Anolis sagrei: one gene and its partners. The protein of the gene in region 4 interacts with the protein of the main gene of each other region in a pairwise test. Links are inferred from orthologs where the notes say so. Each region holds a gene or a part of one and is shown on either strand. Other genes may lie near its edges. The genes, in order: TMPO, zinc finger protein 397-like, IFFO1 and LMNA.

What was found.
Region 1: the proteins of LMNA (region 4) and TMPO interact in a two-hybrid assay, tested with the Homo sapiens proteins (2 studies listed by BioGRID, with this or other methods). The link is inferred for Anolis sagrei from reciprocal best matches to the Homo sapiens genes LMNA and TMPO.
Region 2: the proteins of LMNA (region 4) and zinc finger protein 397-like interact in binary tests that used the Homo sapiens proteins (3 or more experiments, as listed by UniProt). The link is inferred for Anolis sagrei from reciprocal best matches to the Homo sapiens genes LMNA and ZSCAN12.
Region 3: the proteins of LMNA (region 4) and IFFO1 interact in binary tests that used the Homo sapiens proteins (3 or more experiments, as listed by UniProt). The link is inferred for Anolis sagrei from reciprocal best matches to the Homo sapiens genes LMNA and IFFO1.

The regions. Positions count from the first base shown.
Region 1 is NC_090025.1:156,775,848-156,783,857, forward strand, and holds the start of TMPO (thymopoietin), read left to right. Parts: upstream 1-4,998; 5' UTR 4,999-5,183; coding exon 5,184-5,447; intron 5,448-8,010. UniProt on the Homo sapiens protein: May help direct the assembly of the nuclear lamina and thereby help maintain the structural organization of the nuclear envelope. Possible receptor for attachment of lamin filaments to the inner nuclear membrane.
Region 2 is NC_090022.1:146,674,408-146,681,964, forward strand, and holds the start of zinc finger protein 397-like, read right to left. Parts: upstream 3,017-7,557; 5' UTR 2,951-3,016; intron 1-2,950. Other genes in the region: RPS26 (small ribosomal subunit protein eS26), read left to right, coding at 3,143-3,145, 5,929-6,106, 6,752-6,882. UniProt on the Homo sapiens protein: May be involved in transcriptional regulation.
Region 3 is NC_090022.1:197,318,764-197,326,108, reverse strand, and holds the start of IFFO1 (non-homologous end joining factor IFFO1), read left to right. Parts: upstream 1-4,342; 5' UTR 4,343-4,393; coding exon 4,394-5,184; intron 5,185-7,345. UniProt on the Homo sapiens protein: Nuclear matrix protein involved in the immobilization of broken DNA ends and the suppression of chromosome translocation during DNA double-strand breaks (DSBs).
Region 4 is NC_090032.1:22,671,901-22,679,864, forward strand, and holds the start of LMNA (lamin), read left to right. Parts: upstream 1-4,958; 5' UTR 4,959-4,988; coding exon 4,989-5,374; intron 5,375-7,964.

The DNA of each region.
Region 1 (8,010 bases), on a different chromosome or scaffold from region 4:
ACGGAAAAAGAGGACAACTTACCAAACAGGGCCCCTAGGGGCAGGGTGCTCGGACGAGGTTATAATAGGACAAGGTTTGTCCTACTCAGAGGGGGCAAGGGTGATTGGAGGATTACTCACTGGGACTCTGACGCTCGGGTCCTATCCAGGGATCATCTCTCAGGAAAATAGGAGGAGTATTTTAGGCCTCACCTGTAGATTGGAGAAGAGTGTGAACGCCACTGGGGAGATTGTAAGGGCCTTACAGACTGAAGTTGAAGAGTTAAGCCAGATGATTATGCAGCAAAAGGTAGCTCTAGACTATTTGCTGGCTGCAAAAGGAGGTTTCTGTAAGATGGTGGGGCCCCAGTGCATAGTTAGGTTCCATAACCTGAACTCTACCATTAAGGATGATCTTGAAACGTTACACAACTTAATAAATGACAATGTAAAAGAAGATCTGAGATGGTCCCCCTTCTCGTGGTTAACCGATTGGTTGCCCTCAGGAACATGGATAAAAGAAATATTGATGATTTTTATGCTAGGCTTGTTTGTATTTTTCATCGTACTATGTTGTTCTCCCATAGTTATGCAAATGTGTACCAAGTATATGATTCAGACCCCAACGGTGGAAAAAGTTGCTATGTTTCAACCCAGTAAGACTTGGAGGGATCCATAAAATGTTTATATTGTTTTACTCAAATGATAATGTCATTTTCACATTTGTAGAATTGTTAAGATGGTTGTTTGATATTTCATTGTGGTCTACTGGAAGCTTTTCCAATTTCCCTAGAAAATTGGACTTCCGAGGTCGGACGGGTTTTTGAAAAAAAAAGGGGGGGGAATAAGGTGGAACTACAAAATGGAAGTTGGGGAAGTTACCAGTACTCATGGGATAGGGGGCAGTATGGGGTTAGGGAGGGGCTTGGCAAGGGTGGCAGGTGGTGATTGGATGTTTGGGTGGCAGGGGATGATTGGATGTTTATTAAACTGCACCACAACTTTGAACCAATGATTTTGTTCCGGGGCGGTCCTAAACCGAACCCCTTTGACTGTATAAAAAGGCCACATGGCTTGAGGCCTGTATCGTTTCCACCAGGCGCCATGTTGCGTAGGAGGCGACCCAGGCAGCTGCTTGACTTCTAAGTAAACTGCTTTCTTGAAAGAACCTGACTGCCTGTCTTGTTGTTCCTGCGCCCGCCGATTTGCAGCCTAGGAAAAAGATCATCCACTTCACTGTGATAATGCGGCATGTCTCATTAAGAGCCACATCCACTGTTTTAATGTGGTGAGATGTTTTCCACACTGGCATGCATATTCATCAGCAGAGTAGCAAAGCGCAAGGGCAGATGTCTTCACTCTGTCTGGTTGTGATCCACAGGTTGTGTCAGTCAGCTTTCATATAATATTATTTCTCTCACCCACTTTTTTTATAGCCAATCAGTGCTTCTTGTAGGTTAGAGCACAGTCCAGAGTGACTCCCAGGTATTTTGGTGTGCTGCAATGCTCCAGTGGGATTCCTTCCCAGGTAATCCTCAGGGCTCGAGATGCTTGTCTGTTCTTAAGGTGAAAAGCACACGTCTGCATTTTAGATGGATAAGGAATCAGCTGGTTTTCCCAATAATAGGCAGTAAGAGCACTTAAAGCAGTGTTTTTCAACCTGGGGGTTGCCAAAGACTATCAGAAAACAGTCCAGTACTGTTTCAGTAGTGCAGCGTTTCTCAACCTGAAGGTCAGGACCCCTGGGGGGGTTGTGAGGAGGTTTCAGAGGGGTTGCAAGACACCATCAGAAAACATATATTTCTTTTTTTTTTTTTTTAAAAAAGCTTTTTATTGAATTATATCATAGGTAAGTAAAGAATGGAACATCAAAAGTGAGAACAATTTTTGGATAGAAAAGCTTAGAAAAAGAGAGAAATTGGTAAAGAGAATGATTAAAGAAGGAAAAAAAGAAAATAAAGTAAGAAAAAAGGTTACATAAATGGTTTGACTTCCTTCTATTCTTCGGTGGCTGTAGAATTGTAATAGTTAGCCTTCCGAACGGGCAAAATGCAAAATCAGTCTAAGCATCCCTGTAATTTTTAATCTTCTTGTGAGTATTATTTTAGTCATATTAAGTCAATATTTAATTGCTTAAAGTAGTTTTTAACCAGGCCCCAGTTTATTTGTTTGTTTGGAAGTCCTTGGTTGGGAGTAATCCAGTAAGTAAACTTGTCCATGTTCATTACCTCCAAAACTTTCTTCAACCAGTCCTCTTTTTTAGGAAGAAAACATATATTTCTGATGGTCTTAGAAACCCCTTTGGCAGAGAAGGCTGAAGATCTCTCCGCCTGTCCTTTTCTTCCTTTCTAGAAAAAGCCGGGGAATCCTTCCACCAAAAGCCCTCTCCTGTGATTGACTGGCCTCTCAGCCAAGGGGAGGGCTGTTTCTGAGACTACAAGCAGGGGAGGGGAAAGCAGGCGTTCTCAGCACATGGCAGCGTGGTGTGCACTGTGGATGAGGGAGAGCGTTCGAGGCTGGAGGGAGGCTTGCACCAGCAAGTCTCTTCAAGGCATGGGAGTTCTGTGGAGGAAGTTTGTCCCAATTCTATCGTTGGTGGAGTTCAGAATGCTCTTTGATTGTAGGTGAACTATAAAACCCAGCAACTACAACTCCCAAATGTCTCTTTTCCCCATCTCCGCTAGTGTTCACATTTTGGCATATTGAGTATTTGTGCCAAGTTCGGTCCAGGTCTAGCATTGTTTGAGTCCACAGTGCTCTCTGGATGTAGGTGAACTACAATTCCAAAACTCAAGGTCAATGCCCACCAAATCCTTCCAATATTTTCTGTTGGTCATAGGAGTTCTGTGTGCCAAGATTGTTTCATTCCATTGTTGGTGGAGTTCAGAATGCTCTTTGATTGTAGGTTAATTATAAATCCCAGCAATTGCAACTCCCAACTGACAAAATCAAACCCCACCAGTTTTCAAATATGGGCATACTGGGTATTTGTGTCAAACTTGGTTCAGTGAATGAAAATACATTCTGCATAACAGATATTTACATTACAATTCATAACAGTAGCAAAAGTAGTTATGAAGTTGCAACTAAAATGATGTTGTGGTTGTGGGTCACCACAACAAGATGAACTGTATTAAGGGGTTGCATCTTAATGAACCTCTTGAGTGGTCAATATTTTCAAAAAGAGAAGTAGATAATCTCAATTTAGTCATAGCACATGTATATTTTGTTGAGATAAATCTATTAGGAAGGTCGAGAAACACTGGAGCAGGCAGAGTATGCATCCCATCTGAAATCCTGTGGTTGCCTCCCTTAGAATTCTGTTATGAAGTAGCAATGACAATAATTTTATGGTTGGGGATCACCACAACATGAGGAACTCTATTAAGGGGTCGTGGCATTAGGAAGGTTGAGAAACACTGACCTAAAACTTCAGAGAGCTTCTGTTCAACCATTAGCCTAAAGGTAATTTTATACATTATGCAGATGACACCACTTTGATAGCCGAAAGCGAGAAGGAGCCGAGGAGCCTTCTAATCAAGGTGAAAGAAGAAAGTGCAAAAGCTGGGTTGCAGTTAAACATAAAAAAACCCAAGATGATGGCAACAAGAATGATTGACAACTGGGAAATAGAGGAAGAAAATGTGGAGGCAGTGACAGACTTTGTATTTCTAGGTGCAAAGATTACTGCAGACGCAGACTGCAGCCAGGAAATCAGGAGACACTTACTTCTTGGGAGGAGAGCAATGTCCAATCTTGATAAAATAGTGAAGAGTAGTGACATCACATTGGCAACAAAGATCTGCATAGTTAAAACCATGGTATTCCCCGTAGTAAGCTACGGATGTGAGAGCTGGACCATAAGGAAGGCTGAGCAAAGGAAGATAGATGCTTTTGAACTGTGGTGTTGGAGAAAAGTTCTGAGAGTGCCTTAGACTGCGAGAAGCTCCAACCAGTCCATACTTCAAGAAATAAAGCCTGACTGCTCATTGGAGGGAAGAATAGTAGAGGCCAAGATGAAGTACTTTGGCCACATCATGAGAAGGAAGGAAAGCTTAGAGAAGACAATGAAGCTGGGGAAAATGGAAGGAAAAAGGAAGAGGGGCCGACCAAGGGCAAGATGGATGGATAGTATCCTTGAAGTGACTGGATTGACCTTGAAGGAGCTGGGGGTGGTGACAGCCAACAGGGAGCTCTGGCATGGGCTGGTCCATGAAGTCATGAATAGTCGGAAACGACTGAACAAATGAATTTTATACATATTTTAAATAATTTTGTGCATGAAACAATTCTTGTGTTCACTGAACCATAAGAAAGCAGAAGTGTCAGCCATCCATGTAGACGGAGTACGGATAAAGGCTGCTCAATTTGTTAGGTTAGCTTTGGTTAAGTTAGGTTAGCTTTGGTTAGGTTAGCGTAGCTTTGGTTATGTTTTAGGTTAGCTTTGGTTAGCTTAGCTTGGGTTAGGTCTGGTTAGCTTAGCTTTGGTTAGGTTTGTGTTCACTGAACCATCAGAAAGCAGAAGTGTCAGCCATCCATGTAGACGGAGTACGGATAAAGGCTGCTCAACTTGTATCTGGGTTGATTTCCCTCTCAGAAGTGCGCATTAGGCGAAGTGGATAATATCCACGGGAGTTTTTCACATAACACGTGTGCGTTTTGTCTCTTCCATAGCGCGCTTTTGTTTTGTTATTGTCCTTTGTGGCGAGAGATTAATTGCGCTTAAAAACCCTCTTTTAACATCAATGAAAAAGGGTCCTCCCCGGCCGAGCACCCACTCCCGCTTTGGAGCCTTGAGGGAGGCTGTTGTGGTGGTGGTGGTGGTGGTTGCCCGGGGCGCCTCTTCCTCTCCCGCCTGAGTCGAATTTAAAACTGCGTGACCAGAGCTCGCGCAAGGTACGGATTGATTGTGACGCGGCCCAGTGCGCGCGCGCGCACACACAAACAAGGCGAGCGGCTCTCCTCTCGGCGACGCAACCAATCCCAGGGCCGCTTCTCGCGCGCGGCAGCCAATCGCGGCGCACGTTATTGGCGGGCAGGCGAAGCCGTCCGTTGTGTGTTCTGTGTGAGCGTTAGGCGAGGGGGGCCGACCCTTCGCGAGGTTTCCTTTCTCTCCTTCCGCCCCTCCTCTCTTCCTGTCTCTCCCTCCCTCCCTCCCTGGGTGCACTCTTTGTTGGCGGGCCCTTCTCTCTCCGAGCCTGACGATGCCCGAGTTCCTGAGCGACCCGTCGGTGCTCACCAAGGAGAAGCTCAAGAGCGAGCTGATCGCCAACAACGTGAGTCTCCCCGGCGGAGAGCAGCGCAAGGACGTCTATGTGCAGCTCTACCTCCAGCACCTCACCGCCCGCAACGCCCCGGGGCCCCCCGCTCAGCCAGACTTCTCCAGCGACGAGGAGCGGGAGCGCGCCCCGGCCGCCAGGAACAGAGGAGGAGGAGGAGGGGGCGCGGCTGCAGCCTCCGCAGGCCGGGTAAGAAGCGACCCCCACCTCCCGCTTTCCCCGGAGCCCCCCTTCCTTCCCCAAGCGCTGAGGGGGCGGCGGAGTTTTCCCGCTTTTCTCACAGAGGGGGCGGCGCCATGTTTGGTCACTTGAGGGGAAGGCAAGGGAAGAGGAAGGGCCTCCCTCAGCCTCACTCGGGAGGCACCGTTTAATGCCTTTCAAACTCCCACAAAAGCGCGCGGAAGAAAAGCCCTTCGTGTGCCTCTGCGGTTTGGGATATTGCAGACATGGGCCAACTTGGGGTGTTTTGTACTCCAACTCCCACCATTCCTAACAGCCTCAGGCCCCTTCCTTTCCCCCCTCAGCCGCTTTGGAATGTTGAGGCTGGCCAATCAGAAGCCACACACAAATTAGTAGGTCGAGATAGCTCATACTTGGGCCCTCCCTTCAGGTGTTTTGGACTTCCATTCCCATCATTCCTAACAGCCTCAGGCCCCTTCTTTTTCTCCCTCAGCCGGACTTCCACTCCCATCATTCCTAACAGCCTCACGCCCCTTCTTTTTTCCCCTAAGCCGGACTTCCACTCCCATCATTCCTAACAGCCTCACGCCCCTTCTTTTCCCCCCTCAGCCGCTTAAGCGACTGAGGGGGAAAAAGAAGGGGCCTGAGGCTGTTAGGAATGATGGGAATGGAAGTCCAAAACACCTGGAGGGAAGGCCCAAGTTGGCCCATGCCTGATCTGCATCAGGGCCTCAAGTTGGTCCCAGGGTTTCCACCTGTGCACACAGAAGCCACTTTCTTCAATAAGTGTTTGAAGCAGCATTAAACGGTCAATGAAGATGGTGGGTCCTCCACTCGCTGCCTGCCTCCTCCTCCTCCTCTTACAGGCGTGTCCACAAGTCCCGCTCAGAAACGTTGAACTTGGTGGGCGTCCTGCCAGCCAGCGTCAGGCAGTTTCACTTCTGCAAATCTGCAGGAAGGCGTGCTGCCCTTGGCCTTCTGCCCGAGCGATAGTCTCGCCAGCCTCAGGAGACCTCCCGAGTAAATCTACTTCCAACTCCCACAATTCCAGCCAAAGTTTGTCCATGCCTGATCCACACTATAGAGCAGGCATGGGCAAACTTCAGTCCTCCAGGTGTTTTGCACTGAAACTCCCACAAATTCCTAAAAGCTTACCTACCGGCTGTTAAGAATTTGTGGGAGTTGAAGTCCAAAACACCCGGAGCACCAAAGTTTGCCCATGCCTGCTTTAGAGTGGCTCAGTGTTATGAAAACAGTAGGTTTGTAGTCTTCTCAGGCCAAGAATGTAGGCACCTCACCAAATGGCAACTCCCAGGATTCCATAGCAGTTAAAGTGGTCTCAAATTGCATTTTTTCTGCAGTGTGATGCACTCCTTATTTGTCAGGAGTGGGGATTGCTTCCAAGTACCCTGTTATTGTACTGTGAGTAATTCTGGAGGCCAGACTTTGTCTCCTCTGCTTTATAAACCCACCAGGTGACCTTAAGCGAATCACACACTCTCAGCCCTAGGAAATCCTTTGGCCCTCCGCCTGGGAGACAGGCTCGCCTTGGATCCTTGCGCTGCTGGGGAAAGCCTGTCAGGAGGCGGCTCGCGTTGCGGATCTGAAACACCAAGTGCATCAACACCAGGCATGGGCACACTTTAACCCTCCAGGTGTTTTGGACTTCCAACTCCCACAATTCCAGCCAAAGTTTGCCCATGCCTGATCAGTACTAGGGCATGCTTGCTGTAGAGTGGCTCAATGTTATGAAATAATGGAGATTGTAGTTTTACAATAGCTTTATCTTTCTCAGCCCAAGAGTGGGGACCTCACCAAACGGCAACTCCCAGGATTCCATAGCAGTTAAAGTGCTCTCAATTTTTTCTGCAGTGTGATGCATTCCCTGTTAGGCAGGAGTGGAGATTGCTTCCAGTACCTTGCTGTAGTGCTGTGAGCAACTCTGGAAGCCAGTTTCGACTGCCTGCGCCTTTTTAGAAACCCACTGAGTGACCTTGAGCAAGTCACACACTCACAGCCCTAGGAATAATTGGGAAGTGATTGAGGATGCACAACAACATACCTACTTCTTTCAAGCTCCTCTTTTGCTGTTCTCTCTATGGGTGCATAAATGGCATCCTGTCTCTATATAACTCCTTTAAAACACGCTTAAATTATGTTTCAATCCATCTGAAGGAGCCCCCAGTGGTTTTGGCCTTCAACTCCCAGAAACCACAGCTGGTTTACCAGCTGTTAGGATTTCTGGGAGTTGGAGGCCAAAACATCTGGGGACCCACAGGTTGAGAACCACTGGGTTAAAACCTTGTGCTGGCAGGACTGTTGACCAATAGGTCAGCAGTTCGAATCCAGAGAGAGCAGGTTGAGCTCCCTTTATCAGCTCCAGCTCCCCATGCTGAGTGATGCCTCCCGCAAGGATGATAAAACACCAAATATTCAGGCGTCCCCTGGGCAACGTCCTTGCAGATGCCCAATTCTCTCACACCAGAAGCGTCTTGCTGTTTCTCAAGTCGTTCCTGGCATGAAAAAAATCAATTTGAAATACTTCTAAATTTAAAAGGCACAATATGGTTTT
Region 2 (7,557 bases), on a different chromosome or scaffold from region 4:
TATCAAGGGTCTGGAGAATAATCCCTATGAGGAGCAGCTTAAAGAGCTGGGCATGTTTAGCCTGAAGAAGAGAAGGCTGAGAGGAGACATGATAGCCATGCATAAATATGTGAGAGGAAGCTAAAAGAATTGGTAGCTGGGGAATTCTGGAAACCAGAGTACAAAAACCAATATTTTCCAAATACCAATATTTCCCAATACACAATATTGTGAGTATGCCACAATAAGGCAACATCTAAGACACAATTTCCATGATTATTTGAAACATGACACAGGGTTAAACATAGTTTTGAGTTTTTAAGGTCCCCTGGAGTTTCCTGGTTGTGTTGTAATACAGTGGTTGCAGTTCTTGTTAATTTTATTGATACATCACATTTATTTATTTAGTTATTTATTTGGGAATTTTCTGTATCACCTTTCCCCAATGGACTCAAGGCGGTTTACAATAGCATCAAAACATACAATAGAACAGAGACCATTAAAACTAGCCCCGAATAGTTTATATAATCTTCCTCGTAAGACATAAAAACTATCATAAAATAAGCAAAAACATTCTAAAAATTCCCCAAGGAGATAAAATATAATTATAACATGCAAATCCCAGGCTTCTGCCACAAATCAGTTAAAAGCTATTCCAAACAGGAAAGTCTTCAAAATTTTCCTAAAAGACATGAGGGTGGAGGCAGGTCTAATCGCTTCTGGTAGAGCATTCCAGTGATTTGGTGCTCCCCCCCCCCCCCCAAAGCTGGATTCAGGCTGACCACAGTCCCTGTCCTGCCCAGACTTCACGGTCAACAATCAAGATAACAGGAGATCACATCACTGTGCAGGAAAGAAACTCAAAGTTGTTCAAGTTTGTACATGCAACACAGAGTTAATATCTTCTATGAAATACTAGTATTGGTGGGGGGGGGGGGGGTGTCATGCTAAATTGGTCTGGGTCATCCTGTGGTGCTGCCCCTTTAAAATCTTATTGTGGACACTTACCGTAATATCCAAAGCAACCCATAATGGGATAAACAGCTGTGCATCTTGGCTAATGGATATATAAAGAATCTTGAATTATGCCTACACCAGAACCCATTCTCAGCAGCCATGCAATAGGGTTTTTTTATTGTGTCAGAAGTGACTTGAAAATTGGCTGTCTGCAAAGATGTTGCCCAGGGGATGCCTGGATGTGTTACCATCCTGTGGGAGGCTTCTCTCATATCCTTGTATGGGAAGATGGAGCTGACAGACGGGAGCTCATCCTGTCTTGCGGATTTGAACCACCACCCTTCAGGTCAGCAGTTCAGCTGGCACCACAGTTTAAAAGCATCCATCTTCCTTCGTTCTGTCTTCCTTATGGTCCAGCTCTCACATCCGTAGGTTGCCAGAATCTTGGGGGGGGGGGGGGTTACGTTTAACTGCAACCCAGCTTTTGTACTTTCTTCTTGCACCTTGGTAATAAGGTTCCTCAGCTCCTCTTTGCTTTTGGCCATCAAAGTGGTATCATCTGCATATCTAAGGTTGTTAATGTTTCATCCAGCAATTTTAACCCCTGCCTTGCATTCGACAAGCCCTGCACATCGCATGTGTTCTGCATACAAATTGAATAGGTTGGGTGAGAGTATACAAACCTGCCATATGCCTTTCCCAATCTAAATAAAAATGTAATGTTCGTTTGTGGGATTAATATCTCAAAAACCACTGGATGAATTGACATCAAATTTGGACACTATACACCTATCAGGCCAGCGAGTCACCATCACTCGTAAAAACACAATGGGAGGGACTTAAAAAGCCAAAAAAGCAAAAAGACGCAACAGCACATGCACAAAACGACTTCCCCTGGAAAACAAAACACTCACAAGAACATCCATGAAATGCCATATAACACCAGTGTTGCGGCATTTGCACTGGCTTCCAACTGATTACCGTGGTCTATATAAGATGCTAGTTCTGACCTTTAAAATTCTTTACGGCCAGGGTCCATCGTATCTTAGGGACCGTCTCTCATTCTCCCATCATCGGAGGTCGCAACGACCATCCCAAAGTGACTTACTTTATATACCGGGTCCTAGAGAAGTGCACTTGGAAAGGACCAGACGCAGAGCTTTTTCTATTTCTGCCCCTGCCTTATGGAGTTCCTTGCCACCCTATATGAGAGCCATGCGTGAGTTAGGGCCTTTTACCCTAGCACTCAAGACCTGGCTTTTTACTAGAGCTTTTGATCTTTTATCAATATCTGTATGTATGTATTTTTATCCTTTACAATTTTAGCTTGTAAATCGTCTAGAGCATCTTGGATGGAGGGCGATTAATAAATAATTAAATGATGATGGTGATGACAATCGCATATCCACACTCTCTTTTGGACTACAGCTCCCAGCACCCCCTAGACCAGGCTCTTTAGGGGAGGAGGATGATCCAAATGCACTGCTTCCAAGCTACAAGCTTTCTTCTTGGATTTCTTTGAGAGCATCCCAATCCCTACATATTTCCAAATTCCTATTCCTGTACTGCAACTCCCAGCAGTCCTCCAGATAAGACAGATTAGATAGATAGATAGATAGATAGATAGATAGATAGATAGATAGATAGATAGATAGATAGATAGATAGATAGATAGATCGATCAGGAGGACTGCTGGGAGTTGCAGTCCAAAAATTGGTAGAGAAGAAAGGAGAGAAAGCAAAAGGGAAAGAAAAAGGGGGGGGGGAGAGAGAAGGGAAATGGAAGAGAAGGAAGGAGGGAAGGTTGGCTACAGCAACGCGTGGCGGGTACAGCTAGTTTTAGAATAAAACTGGGCAAAACTACAACTCCCAGCATGCATCTCTCCAAGAGAAGCCGTGGGGCATCCGCCGCTGATGCATTGTGGGAGAATTACGTCTTTCTTGAGAATAACCTTCCGCTCCAGAGAGGAGGAAAAATAGTCCCGTCCAAAAACATTGCAGGGGTTAAAACTTACCGGGGTGGAAGTGAGATTGAATTCCCTTTTCGGTCAGTGTGGCGTGAAGGGCGTTTTCTTTCCCTTCGGGATTATTTCTCCCTTCGCGTTGTAGAAGGAAAGTGTGGGCGAAGCACTTCCGTCCTGCGGAGGGAGCGCATATAAGGGCGGCGGAGGGGAAGCCGGACCCTCTTTCGCCTCCTCAGCGTCGAAATGGTGGGTAGCGCACGCGCCACTGGGAGCAGGCCTTGGGATTATTAGGGGACAGCAGAAGGCTCGGCAAAAAAGAAGGGGGGGGGGGCTTTGGGATAGGAATAATTAACACGAGCTGCGGTCATCTTTGAGGGTATCCGTGTAAGCTGGGGTTTTGGGGTGGGTGAATACAATAGCCATGGCCTACCATCTCCTTGTAACAGATTCCTTGCGAATCTTCCAAGTGAGCCATCCCCCCCCCCCCTTGGAAATGGTACGCTCTCCCCTTCCCCCGTTAGAATACGGTAGCTGGGCCCCCGTTCTGTTGAGGCGCGAGGCTCCCAGCAGGCGGAAGTTTCACGCCTCGCGCTCTCTCTAGGCCTCCCGACCGGGAGGAAGTGACGTCTGAGAACGCGAGGCCTCGTTCGGGCCCAATTTCAAGAGGAAATAATAAAAAGCGCTGTTCGCCGTTGTGGTGCCTGTTTGTGTTCGCAACAACTTGCTTGTAGGCCCTCTGGTGATTGCCACTTTGATTAACGAGATATACATTCTGTGTGGTTTTTTAAAAATACGCCTTTACCGTAGAGTTAATGCAGTTTGACCCCCGCTTTAACTACCATGGCTCAGTGCTATGGGATCTTGGGAGTTGTAGTTTTACAAGGGCTTTAGCCTTCTCTGCCAAAGAGGGCTGGTGTCTCCCCAACTATTAACTCCCAGGATTCCATAGCATTGAACCAGGTTAAAGTGGTGTCAAACACTGCTCTCGCTCCCGCCTGCCTTGCATGTGCGATTGGCAGAGACGAAGGACAGCTTCCTCAGTGGTGGCCCCCCAGCTATGGAACTCCCTCCCCAGAGATATTAGATCAGCTCCTTCCCTCATGATTTTCCAAAAAAGAAAAAAGGAAAGACCTGACTCTGAGCAAGCTTTTGAGAATGCAGTGGAATGGATAACACAGAACTATGAATGATGAACATGGAGTGGCCAGACGATGTTTCTGGATAATGTTTTTAACAGGATGACACCGATGATTATATGCTTTAATGGTTTTTATATGTTTTATATTGTAATGTTGATCGTTTTTAATGGCACTTTTATGAATGCCTGAGACTGAGCTGTGCCGATCTGTAACCCGCCTTGAGTCGCCGTATGGCTGAGAAAGGCGGGCTATAAGTATCGCAAATAAATAAATAAATAATTCCACAGTGAAGGTGCCCCCATGGATACATGACGACACCTGAGACTGAGCCAATCTGGAGAGAGTGTGAGCAGGGAAATGGGAGGGGGGTTTGGTCATGCCTCACTTCAATGAAACAAGGCAGCCAAATACCTGTTTAACTGTTAAGTCAAATTGAAAATGAATGCAAGGCCTTAGTAAAGGCTTTAAAGGCAAGAAATAGAACAGTTGTTGTTGAACAAAACGTATATCTAGATTACAAAGCCCTAAATGGTTCCGGCCCAGCTAACCTGTCCAAACGTTTCTCCCCCTATGAACCATCTCAGAGGTTAAGATCTTGTGGGGAGGCCCTGCTCTTGGTCCCTCCTCCTTCACAGGTGCGATTGGTGGGGATGAGAGACAGGGTCTTCTCAGTGGTGGCCCCTCACTTGTGGTACTCCCTCCCTAATTAGTGCAGTTCAGCCCCCTCCCAGTGTTCAGAAAACTAAAAACATGGATGTGGAACCAAGCTTTCAGACATTAATCTCAGTGCAATAGGTGAATGCAGAATGGTGCAATGACAGCTGGAATGGTCTCGGACTATGATGTTGGATTACATGATTTTAATAATTGGCTTTAATGTTTGAGATGTTTTTAGTGGTATTAGTGTATATTTTTATTTTTGTTGTACGTATTTTTGTGTGGCATCGAATTGTGCCTTATATGTGAGTCCCCTCCAGGGTGGAAAATAAATAAATGGATTGGTTGGCTGGATACTTTGAGATTGCTGTTCTGTCAAAGGCTCAGAATTGCCTTTAGTTCAAATTTGTAACTAATGTTGAGTTGCATAAGTACATAAAATAGTGCTATGCATCTGCCATTGTCCTATTGTCTCATCTAGTCCAGCCTTTTCTTAAATTTTTAAAGAAAAAATCCCCTGTTGAAAACAGGAAATAACTTTAGTGGAGCTGCTGTTTAACTAAAAAATGAAGCATATGCATCTTCTAAGTCCTCTCTCGTTAGCTGGGATATAGGAAAGCCTTGCTAGATCAAACTTAAGTAAGGGCCATGAAATTGAACAGTCATTTCAAGAAATAGTAGTTTGGCCTTATTACTTCTGTCTAATATCAGATCACAGCCCTGAGGCCCCATCCAACTATCATGACTGTATCAGGCCTCCTTTTACATGCTATTAGACTAGTTGCCCTCATAGATGTTGTGAGAAACTGGTGCTCTTATCCAGAAGCTCACAAGTAAGGGATTATGGTGATTCTAGTCTTTTTGTAGTCTAGAGATGTATTGAACATGGAGTTTTGAATTACTTTGGAATTTGGGTAACTTGAGCAACCATCTTAGTGCAGAAGTCCACTACATGATATTGTGCAAGTCATACTTGGCCTCAAAGGAAGGCAATGGAACACCTTCTTTAAACAAATCCTGCTAAGAAAACCCAATGATAAGGGGTTGCCATATATTGAAGGTACAGAACAACAAGGATGAATGCTATATACATAACCTATGCAAGATAACCGAGGCTACTTACTTCAGCATAGGTTCCACTCTTGTTTGCCCGATAGTTTGCTTACATTAGTCATATGTGATCTCAGGGAAGGATATGGGCACCTATTAATGTTTTCTTTTCTGTTTCAACAGACGAAGAAGAGAAGGAACAACGGCCGCGCCAAGAAGGGCCGTGGGCATGTCCAGCCTATTCGTTGTACCAACTGTGCCCGCTGTGTCCCCAAGGATAAGGCTATTAAGAAGTTTGTCATCCGAAACATTGTAGAGGCAGCTGCTGTCAGAGACATCTCCGAAGCAAGCGTCTTTGACTGTAAGTACTTTCTGCCACCACACATGTTTTATTTTACCATTCTGTAAGTGATGAGATACAAAATTAAAGGATGATGTTGTGGGACTGTACAGAGGAGCTGCTAGAGTGGCAAGGCTCTGTGGCCTCTTACCTCAGCTCCATTTTTGAACAATTCTCCAATATCTTCCAGGGGACAGTTTTGCAAGGTTTCCCCGCCCCCTCCCCAGGCCCTGAAAATTTAAGAGCAAATAACATAAATAAACCTAAGTGGGAGGCAAGTCCCAAGCTGTAGATGGCTTGCAAAATTCGTCAGAATAAGTAAATGAATAGTGTGATTAGATATCTTGTCAAGACATGTTATTTAACCACCATAACTGAAAAGAAAAAGTCTTTGTGTGGAAAAAGAGTAGATCCATCTGTCACGGATTGCTAACTGAAACAAGTTGGATGTTCACCATGTGTTGTTTTTGCCTGAATAAACCTGAAGGCTGTATATGATTTTAAACTCCGGGGAACAATTAAAAGTGTTTTCTTACAAATCATTTTCCTTTGGAAAGTTTTTCACCCACAGGGAGACATAGAGGCGTTGCTGGAAGTGCCTGGCTGACTTGGACCTTTCTGAAATGACTGTAGTTCTGACCCTGCTGTTTGTCCCTCTTTTCCCAGCCTATGTGTTGCCCAAGCTCTATGTGAAGCTTCACTATTGCGTGAGCTGTGCCATCCACAGCAAGGTGGTGAGGAACCGCTCCCGTGAGGCTCGGAAGGACCGCACCCCTCCTCCCAGGTTCAGGCCTGCAGTAAGTAGACTGACTCCAAAGATGGAGGCTCACTTACATTTAATTGAAATGAACACTTTTGATATCAGAGGTGAAGCCCTCTCATGCCTGCTGGGCCTCTTTGTATTGCACTGTGCAATCATGTAAATAGATGAGATGAACACTTGTCATGTTCAGAGATAGAAAGACAAGAAATGGTATCTAAAATATACTAAAATATTTCTCCATGGATATGTGATGGGGTACCAAGAAATATGGGTCGCCGGTGCCACAGCGGGTTTAACCACTGAGCTGCTGAACTTGCTGACTTGAAAGGTTGATGGTTCAAATCAAGAGAGTTGGGTGAGCTCCCGCTGCCAGTCCAACTCTTGCCAACCTAGCAGTTTGAAAACATGCAAACACTAGTAGATCAATAGGTACTTCTTCTGCAGAAAGGTAACGGTACACCATGCAGTCGTGCTGGCCACATGATCTTGGAGGTGTCTATGGACAACGCCGGCTCTTTGGCTCTGAAATGGAGATGAGCACCCCCCCCCCCCCCAGTCAGACACAACTAGATTTAATGTCAGGGGAAACCTTTACCTTATCAAGTAATATAAATTATTTATTTATTTATTTATTTATTTATTTATTTATTTGATGCACTTATTAACCGCCATTCTCAGCCCATTAGGGCGACTCATGGCGGTGTACAAT
Region 3 (7,345 bases), on a different chromosome or scaffold from region 4:
TATATGCGTATATATGTGGTTTTGTGTATGCGTTGCAATGTATTTTTTGGTTTTTGGCTTTTAAAGTCTCTTCTGTGTTTTTCAATGTTTTTATAAGTGATGGTCACTTGTTGGCCTGATAGGTGTCTTGTGTCCAAATTTCATGTCAATTCATCCAGTGGTTTCTGAGTTATGTTAATCCCACAAATGAACATTACATTTTAATTTATATAGATATGCAGCAGTTGTGTATGCCCCATGTTGATGTTTATGGCCTGACTAGAAATAAGTCATGACACTTGAAGGCACACAACAGCAAAGCCCAGATCTTGTATTATCCCCATCTGTGATGGGTTGAGATGATAATTTAATAATATATGGTCTTCCAAGTTAGCCTTACCATATTGTGAGGTTTTACTTACATTCCTTTCCTGTCCTAAATCCCTACCGGCAGATTTTCATGTTTTCCACAGCTGTTACATAACACTGGGCAGCTGCCACTATAGCTATGTCAGTGTTGTATGTGGGCCAACGTTTTAATACATAAAGTCTTTTTATATGGAGAAAGTTACTTGGAGCAGCTCTTGTGTTCCAGGTTTCCACACGTTGGCGAGATTTCTGTGGGAGATCCGCAATTCCCTTATAGCTTGCCCACTCTGCAAGTACCTTCTGCCTCCTGTCCACATTAATTTAATAGGGTTTTCTTAAGCAATGAATATTCAGAGGTGGTTTTGCTTCTACGCTGGGATTTATGAGTTATTCCCATCCAAGTACTAGCCAGAGCAGGCCCTGCTTGGCTTCCAAGATCAGCCAGAATGATTTATGTTCAAATCCAACCGTTTTTTAAAGGTGATCTTTTGGCAGGGGTGTTGTGTGGTTTCTGGGCTGTGTGGCCACGTTCTAGTGGAATTTTCTCCCAACATTCTGCCTGGCATCTGTGCCTGGCATCTTCAGAGGATCTTGATGTGGTCTGGGATTTGTTTTATTATATCAGAAGCGACTTGAGAAAACTGTAAGTTGTTTCTGGTGTGAGAAAATTGGTCGCCTGCAGAGACGTTGCCCAAGGGATGCCCGGATGTGCTACCATCCTGTGGGAGGCTTCTCTCGTGCATGGGAAGCTGGCAATTCAGCTGGCACAAGGGTTTAACCCACGGCTCCCTGGACCGGGGCTGAGTTGCTATCTATATATATAAAAATGCTCTGTGCATAATGAGTACCTTAAAAACAAAAGAACCAATGAACGAAATCACACCAAATTTGGCAACAAAATGTCTTACAACACAAGGAGTAACCATCACTCAAAAAATTATGATTTTGTCATTTGGGAGTTATAGTTGCTGGGATTTATAGTTCACCTACAATCAAAGAGCATTCTGAACTCCATCAACGATGGAAGTGAACCAAACTTGGCACACAGGACTCCCATGACCAACAGAAAATACTGGAAGGGTTTGATGGGCATTGAACTTGAGTTTGGGAGTTGTAGTTCACCTACATCCAGAGAGCACTGTGGACTCAAAAAATGATGGATCTGGACCAAACTTGGCACAAGCACTCAATATGCCTAAATATGAACACAGATGGAGTTTGGGGGAAATAGACCTTGACATTTGGTAGTTGTAGTCACTGGGATTCACAGTTCACCTACAATCAAAGAGCATTCTGAACCCCACAAACGACAGAATCGGGGCAAACTTCCCACACAGAACCCCCATGACCAACAGAAAATACTTAAGGCCACCCAATCCAACTCCCTTCATCAGGGCAAGAAAACGTAATCAAAGTCCTCCTGACAAAGAGCCATCCAGCCATAGATAGATAGATAGATAGATAGATAGATAGATATGATTCACACACACATGAAATGCCACCCCCAATATGCATTATATATGAAGAATTACAAAAACCAAACACCCATCCTTCCACATTCGAATCACTTCTATGGTGCCATATAAAATCCAGATTATTTGCTTTGAACTGGATTATATGGCAGTGTAGGCTCATCTAATCCAGTTCAAAGCAGATCATGTGGATTATCTACTTTGATAATAATATGGATTATATGGCCATAGCGACAGCTATGATGGAAGGAAGAGAAAGAAGAGATGAAAGCAATGCAGTAGTGGACCCAGGGTAGAAAGGACCTCAATTGCTCCCCCTCCCACAACACACCCGAGAGGCTAGCTGAGCCTGGGAGTTTTGGCATCAGTTACATTTTTAGGTTCCTCTGTGCAGGAGCTTGCCAAGACACGTTAGTATATTTTCTGCTTCTGAGCTGCTGGAAGAAGGTCATTCAAATGGACACCTAAAGAACATTTGAATCTCCCTCAAAGGACATTGTGTGAGTCAATGCTCACATGACTGTATATATGGAGCCCCTGGTGGTGCAGTGGGTTAAACGGCTGAGCTGCTCTACTTGCTAACCGAAAGTTTGCAGGTTCTAATCTGGGGAGTGGTGTGAGCTCCTGCTGTCATCCCCAGCTTCTGCCAACCTAGCAGTTTGAAAACATGCAAATGTGAGTAGATCAATAGGCACCAGTCCAGCAGGAAGGTAACGGCGCTCAATGCAGTCATGCCGGCCACATGACCTTGGAGGTGTCTATGGACAATGCTGGCTCTTTGGCTTAGAAATGGAAATGAACACCAATCCCCAGAGTAGGACAAGACTAGACTTAATGTCAGGGGAAAGCCTTTACCTTTTATTTATTTATTTACTGTATTTGTATACCGCCTTTCTCAGTCCATAGGCGACTCAAGGTGGTTATCAGGGAAAAATTCAATTCTTGCAATGTCATAAATACAATTAAAAACATAACAAATAATAAAAACCAAAAAAATCAGTAAAATATAAATTCATAGTGTATCCTCGTTAAAAAACGAAGTCATTTACAAATGCTTGTTCATAAGCCATGCCTTGACTTTTTTCCGGAATGTTAAAAGGGGGGTGGCCGATCTAATATCTATAGGGAGGGCATTCCATAGCCGAGGGGCCACCACCGAGAAGGCCCTGTCTCTTGTTTCCGCCAAATGTACTTGTGACGAAGGCGGTAACGAGAGCAGGGCCTCCACAGACAATCTTAAGGTCATAAGGGGAGGTGTGTTTGGACATGTAAGTTGGACCGAACCCATGTAGGCCTTTGCAGGCTAAAGCCAGCACTTTGAATTGTGCCCAGTGGTAAACTGGCAGCTAGTGGAGCTGGCACAGCAGAGGAGTTGTACGCTCCCTGACTGCTGTTCGTTGGACCATTTGAAGCTTCTGAACAGTCTTCAAAGGCAACCCCATGTAGAGTGCATTGCAGTAGTCTATATGGGATGTAACAAGAGCATGGACTACCATGGCCAAGTCAAACTTGCCTGTCGCTCTGCATAATAAAGCGTAAACACCTTGGTTTTACTGATCACCTGTGTGACCTATCTTTTCTCTAGCAAGACAATGTGTGGATTGATAAAGGTGCGAACTACGCCTTTGGACCGCCAGAAGATCCAACCAGTCCATACTTCAGAAAATAAAGCCCGACTGCTCATTGGAGGGAAGGATAGTAGAGACAAAGATGAAGTATTTTGGCCGTATTATGACAAGAAAGGAAAGCTTAGAGAAGACAATGATGCTGGGGAAAATAGAAGGAAAAAGGAAGAGGCAAGTTGGATGGATGGCATCCTTGAAGTGACTAGATTGATCTTGAAGGAGCTAGGGGTGGTGACGGCCGACAGGGAGCTCTGGCGTGGGCTGTTCGATGAGGCCACGAAGAGTTGGAAACGACTGAACGAATGAACAGCAATGCATGATTTTCATTCTGTCACAGACTCATTGAATCCAGCTCAAAGAAGATAATAGATTGTCTGCTTTGATAATGTGGAATTTTTTTTTGTAGTGTCAGGAGTGACTGCAAGTCGCTCCTGGTGTGAGAGAATTGTCCGTCTGCAAGGACGTTGCCCAGGGGACGCCTGGTTGATTTGATGTTTTTATCATCCTTGTGGGAGGCTTCTCTCATGTCCCCGCATGAGGAGCTGGATCTGATAGAGGGAGCTCATCCGCCTCTCCCCGGATTCGAACCTGCGACCTGCCGGTCTTCAGTCCTGCCGGCACAGGGGTTTAACCCACTGCGCCACCGGGGGCTCCGATATTGTGGATTATACGGCCATATTGACAGCTAGGAAGAAAGGAAGAGCAAGAAGGGATGTAAGCAATGCAGTCGTGGACCCAATGGGGAACCTCAGTTGCTCCCACCCAGCCCCGTGCGCACGCGCACTCCGCAGCCGCACCGCTCGCCCGCCCGCTCGCCCCCTTTTCCCCGGGATGCCCCGCCCCTTTGGAGGCAGCTGGCTCCGGATTGGGCGCCCCCGCGTCCTGGCCACGCCCCCTGGGCTCCCCATCCCGCCCGGCGCCGCAGTCCCCCCGCCGGGCGCCGCAGCCATGAACCCGTTATTCGGGCCCAACCTCTTCTTCCTGCCGCAGGCGGAGCAGGACTCTCCTTTCGGGCTCTTCCCGGGCGGAGGGAGAAGGGGCGAGGAAGAGGACGAGGAGGAAGAGTGGGGCCCGGCCTTCGGGGAGCCTTTCTCCTCCACCACCACCACCTCCTCCTCTTCCGCCATGGCGCTCCGCAACGACCTGGGCTCCAACATCAACGTGCTCAAGACCCTCAACCTGCGCTTCCGATGCTTCCTGGCCAAAGTGCACGAGCTGGAGCGCCGCAACCGGCAGCTGGAGAAGCAGCTCCAACAGGCCCTCGAAGGGGGAGGCAACGGAGGAGGGGGAGGAGGAGGGGGCAGCGCGCGGCGCTCCAGCATCTCCCGGCGCGACCAAGGCGTCCAGACGGGCTTCGTGGGGCCCATCCGCCCGCTGGGGCTGCCCTTGGCGGGAAGCATCGCCCCGCGGGTGCTGGGCTCCCCCAGTCCCAACCCCGCGCGGAGCTTGGCCTCCCCCGGCTGCCACCCGGGAGCCCCCTTGGCGCCCAGCAGCCTCGCCTCGCCTTCCTCCTCCTCCTCCTCCGCCTCGACGCGCTTCCTGCCGGGCACCATCTGGTCCTTCTCGCAGCCGCGGCGCCTGGGGCCCGGGCCGGAGACCACGCTGGTGCAAGGGCCCGGCGTCTCCTGGCTCCACCCGGACGGCGTCGGCGTCCAGATCGACACCATCACCCCCGAAATCCGCGCCCTCTACAACGTCCTGGCCAAAGTCAAGCGCGAGCGCGACGAGTACAAGCGACGGTGAGAACGGAAGAGAGGGATTGGAAGGGGTGGCATCCGGGGCACAGGAAGGGAGCTAGGCTCAGGCCTGGGCAGGCTTGGTGTTTTGGACTGCAGCTCCCATCATTCCTCACAGCCTCAGGTGCTCAGCCGGTTAAGAATGTTAGAATGTTGAGGCTGGCCAATCAGAACCCATATGCAAATTAATAGGTGGAGATCGCTCATGCACGGGCCAACTTGGGTCCTCACGGTGTTTTGGACGTCAACTCCCACCATTCCTAAGAGCCTCAGGCCCTTAGAGACTTAAGAATGTTAGAGGCTGGCCAATCAGAACCCATATGCAAATTAGTAGGTGGAGATCGCTCATGCACGGGCCAACTTGGGCCCTACAGGTGTTTTGGAACTCCAACTCCCACCATTCTTAACATCTTCATCCCCTCAGCCACTTAAGAATGTTAGAATGTTGAGGCTGGCCAATCAGAACCCATATGCAAATTAGTATGTGGAGATCGCTCATGCATGGGCGAACTTGGGCCCTCCAGGTGTTTTGGACATCAACTCCCACCATTCCTAAGGGCCTCAGGCCCTCAGCCACTTAAGAATGTTAGAGGCTGGCCAATCAGAACCCATATGCAAATTAGTAGGCGGGGATAGCTCATGCATGGGCCAACTTGGGCCCTCCAGGTGTTTTGGACCTCAACTCCCACCATTCCTAACAGCCTCGGGCCCTTTCCTTTTCCCTTTCATCTGCTTAAGCTTAAGGTCATTTTGAAATGTCAAAAGGGGGGCCAAAAGGGAAAACTTTTTGAAAGATCTGGCCTGAGAAAAAGAAATGGGCATCTTTAACAACTGGATCACTCTAACAACCACCATGTTGGACTATACAGAAAAGACATTTAAATCCACAAGCATCACTGTGCTGCTGTGAGTTTTCTGGGCTGCATGGCCATTTTCCAGAAGTATTCTCTCCTAACGTTTCGCCCACATCTATGGCAGGCATCCTCAGAGGTTGTGAGGTCTGTTGAAAACTAGGCCAGTGAGATTTATATATCCCTATAATGTCCATGCAGCTGTGGACAAGTCTACATAGGGACTACCAAACACAGCATTGCCCAAACACAAATCAAAGAACATGAAAGGCACTGCAGACTATTTCATCCAGAGAAGTCAGCTATAGCAGAGCTCCTGATGACCCAACCTGGACACAGCATATTATTTGAGAACACAGAAATGCTGGACCACTCTCACAACCACCATGTCAGACTGCACACAGAAGCTACTGAAATCCACAAGCATGTAGACAATTTCAATTGAAAGGAGGGAATCATGAAAATCAACAAAATCTGGCTACTAGTATTGAAAAACTCTAAAATCAGGACAGTGAATAAAGTGCAACACTAAAAAAAACCCCAAAACAAAACAAAAAAAACAGAGGAATTCCAGACAAGAAACAATCAGGGCTAGATAACACCTCTCAACAAAGGATCCCCCAGGCAGTTACCAGCCAGGCTTTGAAGCTGCAAGGCCATTAAACACTAATCAAGGTGGCCAGTTGCAACATTCACACTTGCCTCAAGCAGTTCTTTCTCTCACCCTGGACATTCCACAGATATATAAACCTCATGTGCCTAGTTTCTAACAGACCTCACAACCTCTGAGGATGCCTTCCATAGATATGGGTGAAATATCAAGAGATAATGCTTCTGGAACATGGCCATAGAGCCCGGAAAACTCACAACAATCCAGAAAGGGGCAAATTCAGCCTAAACTCAGGGCTTCTGACTGGAGAGCTTCCCTTCTCAGAAGGGAAAGGGGCACTGCATTTCTTGAATCAGAACCTGTCCAAATATCACAAACCTGGCTTCATGGGTCTGGGAACAGGGTTGCAGAGAAGTATTGCCTCTCTCTCCCTCTCTCTTTGTGTCTCTTAAGAGTGAGAAGGAGAGAGACAACATTGGTTAGACCACATCTGGAATACTGTGTCCAATTCTGGGCACCACAATTCAAGAGAGATATTGACAAGCTGGAATGTGTCCAGAGGAGGGCAACTAAAATGATCAAGGGTCTGGAGAACAAGCCCTATGAGGAGCGGCTTAGGGAACTGGGCATGTTTAGCCTGAAGAAGAGGAGGCTGAGAGGAGATATGATATCCATGTATAAATATGTGAGAGGAAGCCACAGG
Region 4 (7,964 bases):
TAATCCCTCCCAACAGATGGCCACTCAGCTGTAGATTGATGGCCAGAGATATGGCTGACAGATGGAGAAAGAGATAGATGATTGAGAGAGAGAGAGAGAGAGAGTATATCATGGAATGCTGGAGTTGGAAGGGATCCCCAAGGGCCATCCAGTCCGGCCCCTTTCTGCCATCAAGAAAGACATCATCAAACTCCTCTCAACAGATGGCCACCTAGCCATAGATTGATGGCCAGAGATATGACTGACAGATGGAGAAAGGGATAGATGATTAAGAGAGAAAGAGAGATCATCGAATTGGAAGGGACCCTCCAGAGTCATCCAGCCCAGCCCCCTTCTGCCATCAAGGATGACACCATCAAACCCCTCCTGACAGATGGCCATCCAGCCATGGAGATGACTGACATGTGGAGAGGGAGAGAGATGATTGAGAGAGAGAAAGATCAATTCTAGAATGCTAGAGTTGGAAGGGATCCCCAAGGGCCATCCAGTCCGACCCCCTTCTGCCATCAAGGAAGACACCATCAAACTCCTCTCAACAGATGGCCACCCAGCCGTAGATTGATGGCCAGAGATATGACGGACAGATGGAAAGATAGATGATAGAGAGAGAGACCCTGGGTGTTGATCCCCAGCCTGCCGGTCCTGAAGGTCTTCCCTCCCAGGCAGGCCCCCAAGGCGTTATGGGGGGGGGAGCTCCCCCAAATGTGTTCTGGGCTCCTGAGCCGGATTCCCCCGCCGCCTGGGGGCTTCCCCCCCCCCTTGAGAGAAAGAGGGGAAGAGACTGGCCTCCGCTCTCCCTCCCCATCCAGCCGTGACTCATTCCTGCCGTGATGCGGGCCAGATATTAGATTACTGGCTCCTGTAAAAAAGCTGTCTGTGTGTATATGTGCGTGTGGCATGTATGTGTGCCTCTGTTGCCGTGGCGACGGGAGTGACTCACTGCCGGGAAACCGGTCTGGGTTTTCCTCCCTGCGTCCAGCTTGAGGCCTGTTTGGTCTCCTGGGAAGCCTCTCGTTTGCAAATGGGAAACAGCCCGGCACTGGGCTCTCCAAGGCGCTCTGAAGAATCCTCTGAGGGGGTCCGTAGCCACAGGTGCAGGCAAAACGTCAGGAAAGACGGACACTGGAACAGGGCCCGGAAACCCACAGCAACCCATTAAACAGTCAAAGAGTGTCGGGTGGGGTCTCCGGCCTGCGCCTGGCTCTTGTCTTCCCCAGTGTCTTCCTAGTTCTCGTTCCTATACAGTACTTTTGAGATTCCTTGTGTGATAGATAGATAGATAGATAGATAGATAGATGGAGGGATGAATGGGTAGGTAGGTAAGTGGATGAACAGACAGATAGATTGAAGTCGATAGGGAATTTGAAAGGGTCTAGTCAGAGGAGAGACCCTGCGGCCCCACCAAAGAGGGATTGCTACTTTGGCGAGTCAATCCGTCAACTCGCGGATATGGGGGCCCGAGGAGTTTCCGTATCCGCGGTTTGAAGGAACGCAGTTTCGGCATCCCAGGCAGGCCAGCGGCTTCCCGTGCCCCGGAAAAGGTTGAATTCATGCATTACATACTGGTGAGTCAGGAATGGGACACAATGTATCACTACAAAGAGGTGAAGGTTACAATTCAGTGAGTCTTTATTAAGGGTTTAGTTACAATGTTTGGGCAGGGGATCGCTACGTTGGAGAGTCGATCCGTCCACCCACGGATACGGGGCCCCGAGGGGTTTTCGTATCCGCGGTTTGAAGAAACGCAGTTTCGCCCTCCCTGGGACGCCTGGAAGGCATCCCAGGCGGTGAGTCAATCCGTCAACTCGCGGATACGGGGTCCCGAGGTGTATCCGTATCCGCGGTTTGAAGAAACGCAGTTTCGGCTTCCTTGGGATGCCTAGAAGGCATCCCAGGCGGGCCAGTGGCTTCCCACACCCCGGAAAAGGTTGAATTCATGCATTACATACTTGTGAGTCAGGAATGGGACACAATGTATCACTACGAAGAGGTGAAGGTTACAATTCAATTAGTCTTTATTAAGGGTTTAGTTACAATGTTTGGGCAGGGGAAAGAAACGAAAGGAGAGAGCTCAAGGTTGCAAAGAGTCACTGGTTTAGGCTGCTGCTGGGGCATATTTCATCAGCGCTTGCCCAATGGAGCATCCAAGGAACTGCGGAACCCCCTGCGGCTGGTCAGATGAGCTTGAAAGCAGGGGGCTGGGGTGCCCTTGGCATCAAGATGACAGAGAGTGAGGTACATAAACATGGGCAGATTGATGCACAAGGATGCACAGTGGGTGCTGGTGAACTACAACTCCCATATGCAAGTCCCATCATCCATGGTCATCCTCCTCTAAAGTGCACCAAGATGTGGAATGGGTCACGGGGGCTCTGTGTTCCAAGTTTCGTCGTGATCCGTCATTGGTGTGGGTTGCAGTGGTCTCAGGAAGTGAGTGAAGGTACTGCAAGTCCCATCGTCCATGATCCATCCTCCTCCAAACTGCACCAGGATGTAGATTGGGTCACGGGGGCTGACAAGTTTGGTCTTGATCAGTCATTGGTGTGGGCTGTAATAGTCTCAGGCAGTGAAGGTACTGCAAGTCCCATCATCCATGGTCATCCTCCTCCAAACTGCACCAGTATGTAGAGTGGGTCATGGGGACTCTGTGTGCCAAGTTTGCTCTTGATCCATCATTCCTGGTGGTCATAGTGGTCTCAGGAAATGAGTGAAGGTACTGCAAATCCCATCGTCCATGATCCATCCTCCTCCAAACTTCACCAGGATGTAGAGTGGGTCATGGAGGCTCTGTGCGTCCAGTTTAGTCTTGATCAGTCATTGGTGTGGGCTGTAATGGTCTCAGGCAGTGAAGGTACTGCAAGTCCCATCGTCCATGGTCCATCCTCTTCCAAACTGCACCACAATGTAGAGTGTTTCCTTATGGTGGTGTTTATGATCACTGGACAATGCCTAGAGAGATGGGTGGAGGGATGTGGAGAGAGCAGGCCTGGTGTTGTGGACTCCAACTCCCACAATTCCTAGATTGACTGGATTGACCTTGAAGGAGCTGGGGGAGGTGACGGCCGACGGGGCACTCTGATGTTGGCTGGTCCCTGAGGTCACAAAGAGTTGGAAACGACTGAACGAATAAACAACAACAAAAAAAATATTTATCAATTAGTTCAATTAGCCTCCCCGCATAAGTGGTACCTAAATTTCCTACTTGACAGAGGCAACTGTCTTTTGGGCTTCAAAGGGGAGCTGTCACTTCAACATCCACTTGTGACACTGATGGAGTACTTCCTCATTCCTTTGCATGTTGCTGGAGAGTTTTAGGGCATTATAAATTAGTTAAATTAGCCTAAATTTCCTACTTGACAGTTGCAACAACTGATCAAATGAACAACAAGAAAATTAGTTCAATTAGCCTCCCTGCATAAGCAGTACCTAAATTTCCTACTTGACAGAGGCAACTGTCTTTGGGGCTGCAAAGGTGGACAGCAAGCTAGACCAATGGTCGGGAGCTTACTCCAACCTGGGCTGGCTTTGAACTCAGTCGTGATTTTAATGCAGCTGGGTCCCAACCCGGTAGGCTGCTGGGAATGGTGGGAGTTGAAGTCCAGAACACGGGGAAGGAGGGAGGGAGGGAGGGAGGGAGGGAGGGCCCAAGTTGGCCCAGGCCTGGGAGAGGTAGAGAGTCTTGACTCCAAGGCAGGGCGAGGTGTATGTTGTGCGCAGGCGCGGCCTTGCTGTGAGCGGGAGGGAGGAAGCAGGGGGCGTGGCAAGAAGCAGGGGGCGTGGCCAGGAAGGCGTGTCTATTTGGGGGAGATGGAGAGCCTGGAGTCTTGAGGCGAGGCGTGCGTTGTGCGCAGGCGCGGCCTTATTGTGGGAGGGTGGGAGGGAGGAGGGGGCGTGGCGAGAAGGAGGGGGCGTGTCCAGGGAGGCGAGTCTATTTGGCCCAGAGAGAGAGTCTTATATTGAGCCTTGAGGCGAGGCGTGTGTTGTGCGCAGGCGCGGCCTTGCTGTGGGAGGGAGAAGGGGGCGTGGCGAGGAGGAGGGGGCGTGTCCAGAGAGGGAGTCTCTTTGGGAGAAATTGAGAGCCTGGAGTCTTGAGGCGAGGCGTGCGTTGTGCGCAGGCGCGGCCTTGTTGTGGGAGGGTGGGAGGGAGGAATCAGGGGGCGTGGCGAAGAGAAGGGGGCGTGTCCAGGGAGGGAGTCCCTTTTGGGATAGATAGAGAGCCTTGAGTCTTAAGGCAAGGCGAGGTGTATTTTGTGCGCAGGCGCGGCCTTGTTGTGGGAGGGAGGAGGGGGCGTGGCGAAGGGGAGGGGGCGTGTCCAGGGAGGCGGGAGAGAGAGAGTCTTATATTGAGTCTTGAGGCGAGGCGTGCGTTGTGCGCAGGCGCGGCCTTGTTGTGGGAGGGAGTGAGGAAGCAGGGGGCGTGGCGAAGAAGAGGGGGCGTGTCCAGAGAGGGAGTCTCTTTGGGAGAAATGGAGCCTGGAGTCTTGAGGCGAGGCGTGCGTTGTGCGCAGGCGCGGCCTTGTTGAGGGAGGGAGGAAGCAGGGGGCGTGGCGAAGGGGAGGGGGCGTGTCCAGGGAGGCGGGAGAGAGAGAGAGAGAGAGTCTTATATTGAGCTTTGAGGCGAGGCGTGCGTTGTGCGCAGGCGCGGCCTTGTTGTGGGCCGAGAGGGGGCGTGGCGAAGAGGAGGGGGCGTGTCCAGGGAGGGAGTCTCTGGGATAGAGAGTCTTGAGGCGAGGCATGCGTTGTGCGCAGGCGCGGCCTTGCCTTGTTGTGGGAGAGAGGGAGGGAGAGAGGAGGGGGCGTGGCGAAGAGGAGGGGGCGTGGCCAGGGAGGCGAATCTATTTGGGATAGAGAGCCTTGAGGCGAGGCGTGTGTTGTGCGCAGGCGCGGCCTTGTTGTGGGAGGGAGTGAGTGAGGAGGGGGCGTGGCCTGGGGGTGGGCGAGGCTATTTAAGGCGTGCTGCTCTCCTCAGCCGCGGCATTCCTGTCAGGATGGAGTCCTCGGTGGGCGGGAAGCGCGGCACGCGGAGCACTGGAGCCGGGGCCTCGGCCTCCTCGTCTTCTTCCTCCATGGGGACCCCTCTGTCCCCGGCTCGGATCACGCGGCTGCAGGAGAAGGAGGACCTGCAGGAGCTGAACGACCGTCTGGCGGTGTACATCGACAAGGTCCGCTCTCTGGAGTCGGAGAACGCGGGGCTGCGGCTCCGGATCTGCGAGTCCGAGGAGGAGGTCAGCCGCGAGGTCAGCGGGCTCAAGGGCGCCTACGAGGCCGAGCTGGCCGACGCACGAAAGACCCTCGACTCCGTCGCCAAGGAGCGGGCCAGGCTCCAGCTCGAGCTCGCCAAGACCCGCGAGGAGCACAAGGAGCTCAAGGCCAGGTCAGTCCGTCCCTCAGGGGGTGTCCACACTACAACTCCCAGCAGGCCTCAGGGGGAAAGGGTGCCAGGAATGATGGGAAATGGAGTCCCAAACACCTCAAGGGAAGAAGGCCCCCTTGCCAGGCCTGCCCCCCCCCTCAGGGGCGAAAGGAAAGGGCCCCAGGGTGCCAGGGATGATGGGAATTGGAGTCCAAAACACCTCAAGGGAAGGCCCCCTTGCCAGGCCTCCCCCCCCTCAGGAGAGTGGGACTACAACTCCCAGCATGCCTCAGGGGAAAAGGAAAGGGCCCCAGGGTGCCAGGAATGATGGGAATTGGAGTCAGAAGCTCCCCCCCCCCCAAGTAGATCTCAAAGGAAGAAGGCCAGCCCTAGAATCATATTGCCAGGCCTCCCCTTGACCTGCTTGGGACTACCACTCCCAGCATGCCTCAGGGGGAAAGGGGAAAGGATGCCAGGGTGCCAGGAATGATGGGAGTTGGAGTCCCCAACACCTCAAGGGAAGAAGGCCCCCCCCAAGTGGATCTCAAAGGAAGGAGGGAGGCCAGTCCTAGAATCATATTGCCAGGCCTCCCCTTGAATGGCTTGGGACTACAACTCCCAGCATGCCTTGGGGGGAAAGGAAAGGGCGCCAGGATGCCAGGAATGATGGGAATTGGAGTCCCCAACACCTCAAGGGAAGAAGGCCCCCTTGCCAGGCCTTCCCCCTCCCCTCAGGAGAGTGGGACTACCACTCCCAGCAGGCCTCAGGGGGAAAGGGGAAAGGAGGCCAGGGATGATGGGAATTGGAGTCCAAAACACCTCAAGGGAAGAAGGCCCGGGGGTCCCCACACACACCCTCTCGCCAGGGGACTACAACTCCCAGCAGGCCTCAGGGGGAAAGGATGCCAGGGTGCCAGGAATGATGGGAGTTGGAGTCAAAGGGGGCAGGCCAGCCCTAGAATCATATTGCCAGGCCTCCCCTTGACTGGCTTGACACTCCAACTCCCAACATGCCTTGGGGGAGGGGGGAAGGAAAGGGCACCAGGGTGCCAGGAATGATGGGAGTTGGAGTCCCAAACCCCCTCAAGGGAAGAAGGCCCCCCCAAGTGGATCTCAAAGGAGGCAGGCCAGCCCTAGAATCTTATTATAAATTATGAATTGTTATGCTATTTATTATTGTTAGGCCTCATCGGGAAGATACTTATATTATATGAATTACAAGCTATTTATATTATACTAGCCCTACCCTGCCACTCATTGCTGTGGCCAACCTTGCCTCCCTCTTTCTCTCCTTCCTTCCTTCCTTCCTTCCCTCCCTCCCTCCCTCCCTCCCTGTTCTTTCCCTTCCTCGTCTTTCTCTACCAGTTTCTTCCTTTGCTCTTTCGTTCCATCCTTCCTCGTCTCTTTCCTTCCTTTCTTCCTTCCTTCCTTTGCTCTCTCTCTCTTTCATTCCACCTCTCCTTCCCTCCTTCTTTCCCTTCTTTCTCTCCCTCCTTCTCTCCTTCCTTCCTTCTCTACCCTTCTTTCTTTCCTTCCTTCTCTCCTTCCCTCCTTCCTTCTCTACCCTTCTTTCTCTCCTTCCCTCCTTCTCTACCTTTCTTTCTTTCCTTCTCTCCTTCCTTTCTTCTTTCCCTCTTTCTCTCCCCCTTCTCTCCTTCCTTCCTTCTCTATCCTTCTTTCTTTCCTTCCTTCTCTCCTTCTCTCCTTCCTCCTTTTCTTCCACCTTCTTCCTTCTCTACCCTTCTTTCTTTCCTTCTTTCCCTCCTTCACTCCTTCTTTCCCTTCTTCTTTCCCTCTTTCTCTCCCTCCTTTCCTTCCTTCTCTCCTTCCCTCCTTCTTTCCTTCCTCCTGCGAGGAGCACAAGAAGCTCAAGGCCAGGTCAGAGGCCTCCCCTCAGGAGAGTGGGACTCCAACTCCCAGCATGCCTTGGGGGGAAAAAGGAAAGGGCCTGAGGCTGCCAGGAATGCTGGGAATTGGAGTCCAAAACACCTGGAAGGAGGGAGGGAGGGAGGGAGGGAAGGCCTACACCTCACAGCCACCCAACAATTATAAAACTATTAGTTATTTATAATGTGACAGATAATCACCTAATAAATAAAAATAATGAGTGAATATAAATATAGAATAAAATGATAATCAATAATGAAATAAATTGTGGAGAAAGGGGTATATAATAATCAAGTAATAGTAATATATGCATAGCCACTTTTAGTCTCCTTCCAGAGAAAAAAGGTTGCAAAGAAAACAATACTATATAATGATATATAGAGTCGTAGTAATGATATTTATTTATTGAGTCATCAGCAACCAGTCAATTATATTATAGTGATGATGATGATGATGATGATTACATGGAGGGGGGTGGAATCCTATTAAGTTTGCTGGGGGAACCTTGGATTCTTCCCAGGAAGGCCAGAGATCCCTTTCTGGGAAGGAAGCAAGGCAGGGCCGTTGAACCCCTTCCCCTCCTTTGCTGCACTTTTTGCAATGGAGTCGGACTAGATGCCCTTTGGGGGCCCCTTCCCAGCACCTTGCGGAGAAACCAGGCTTCCTTTCCCTCCATCTCCATTTTGGCAGCCCTTTCAGGGTGTGGCCGGGAAGCCATGTGGCA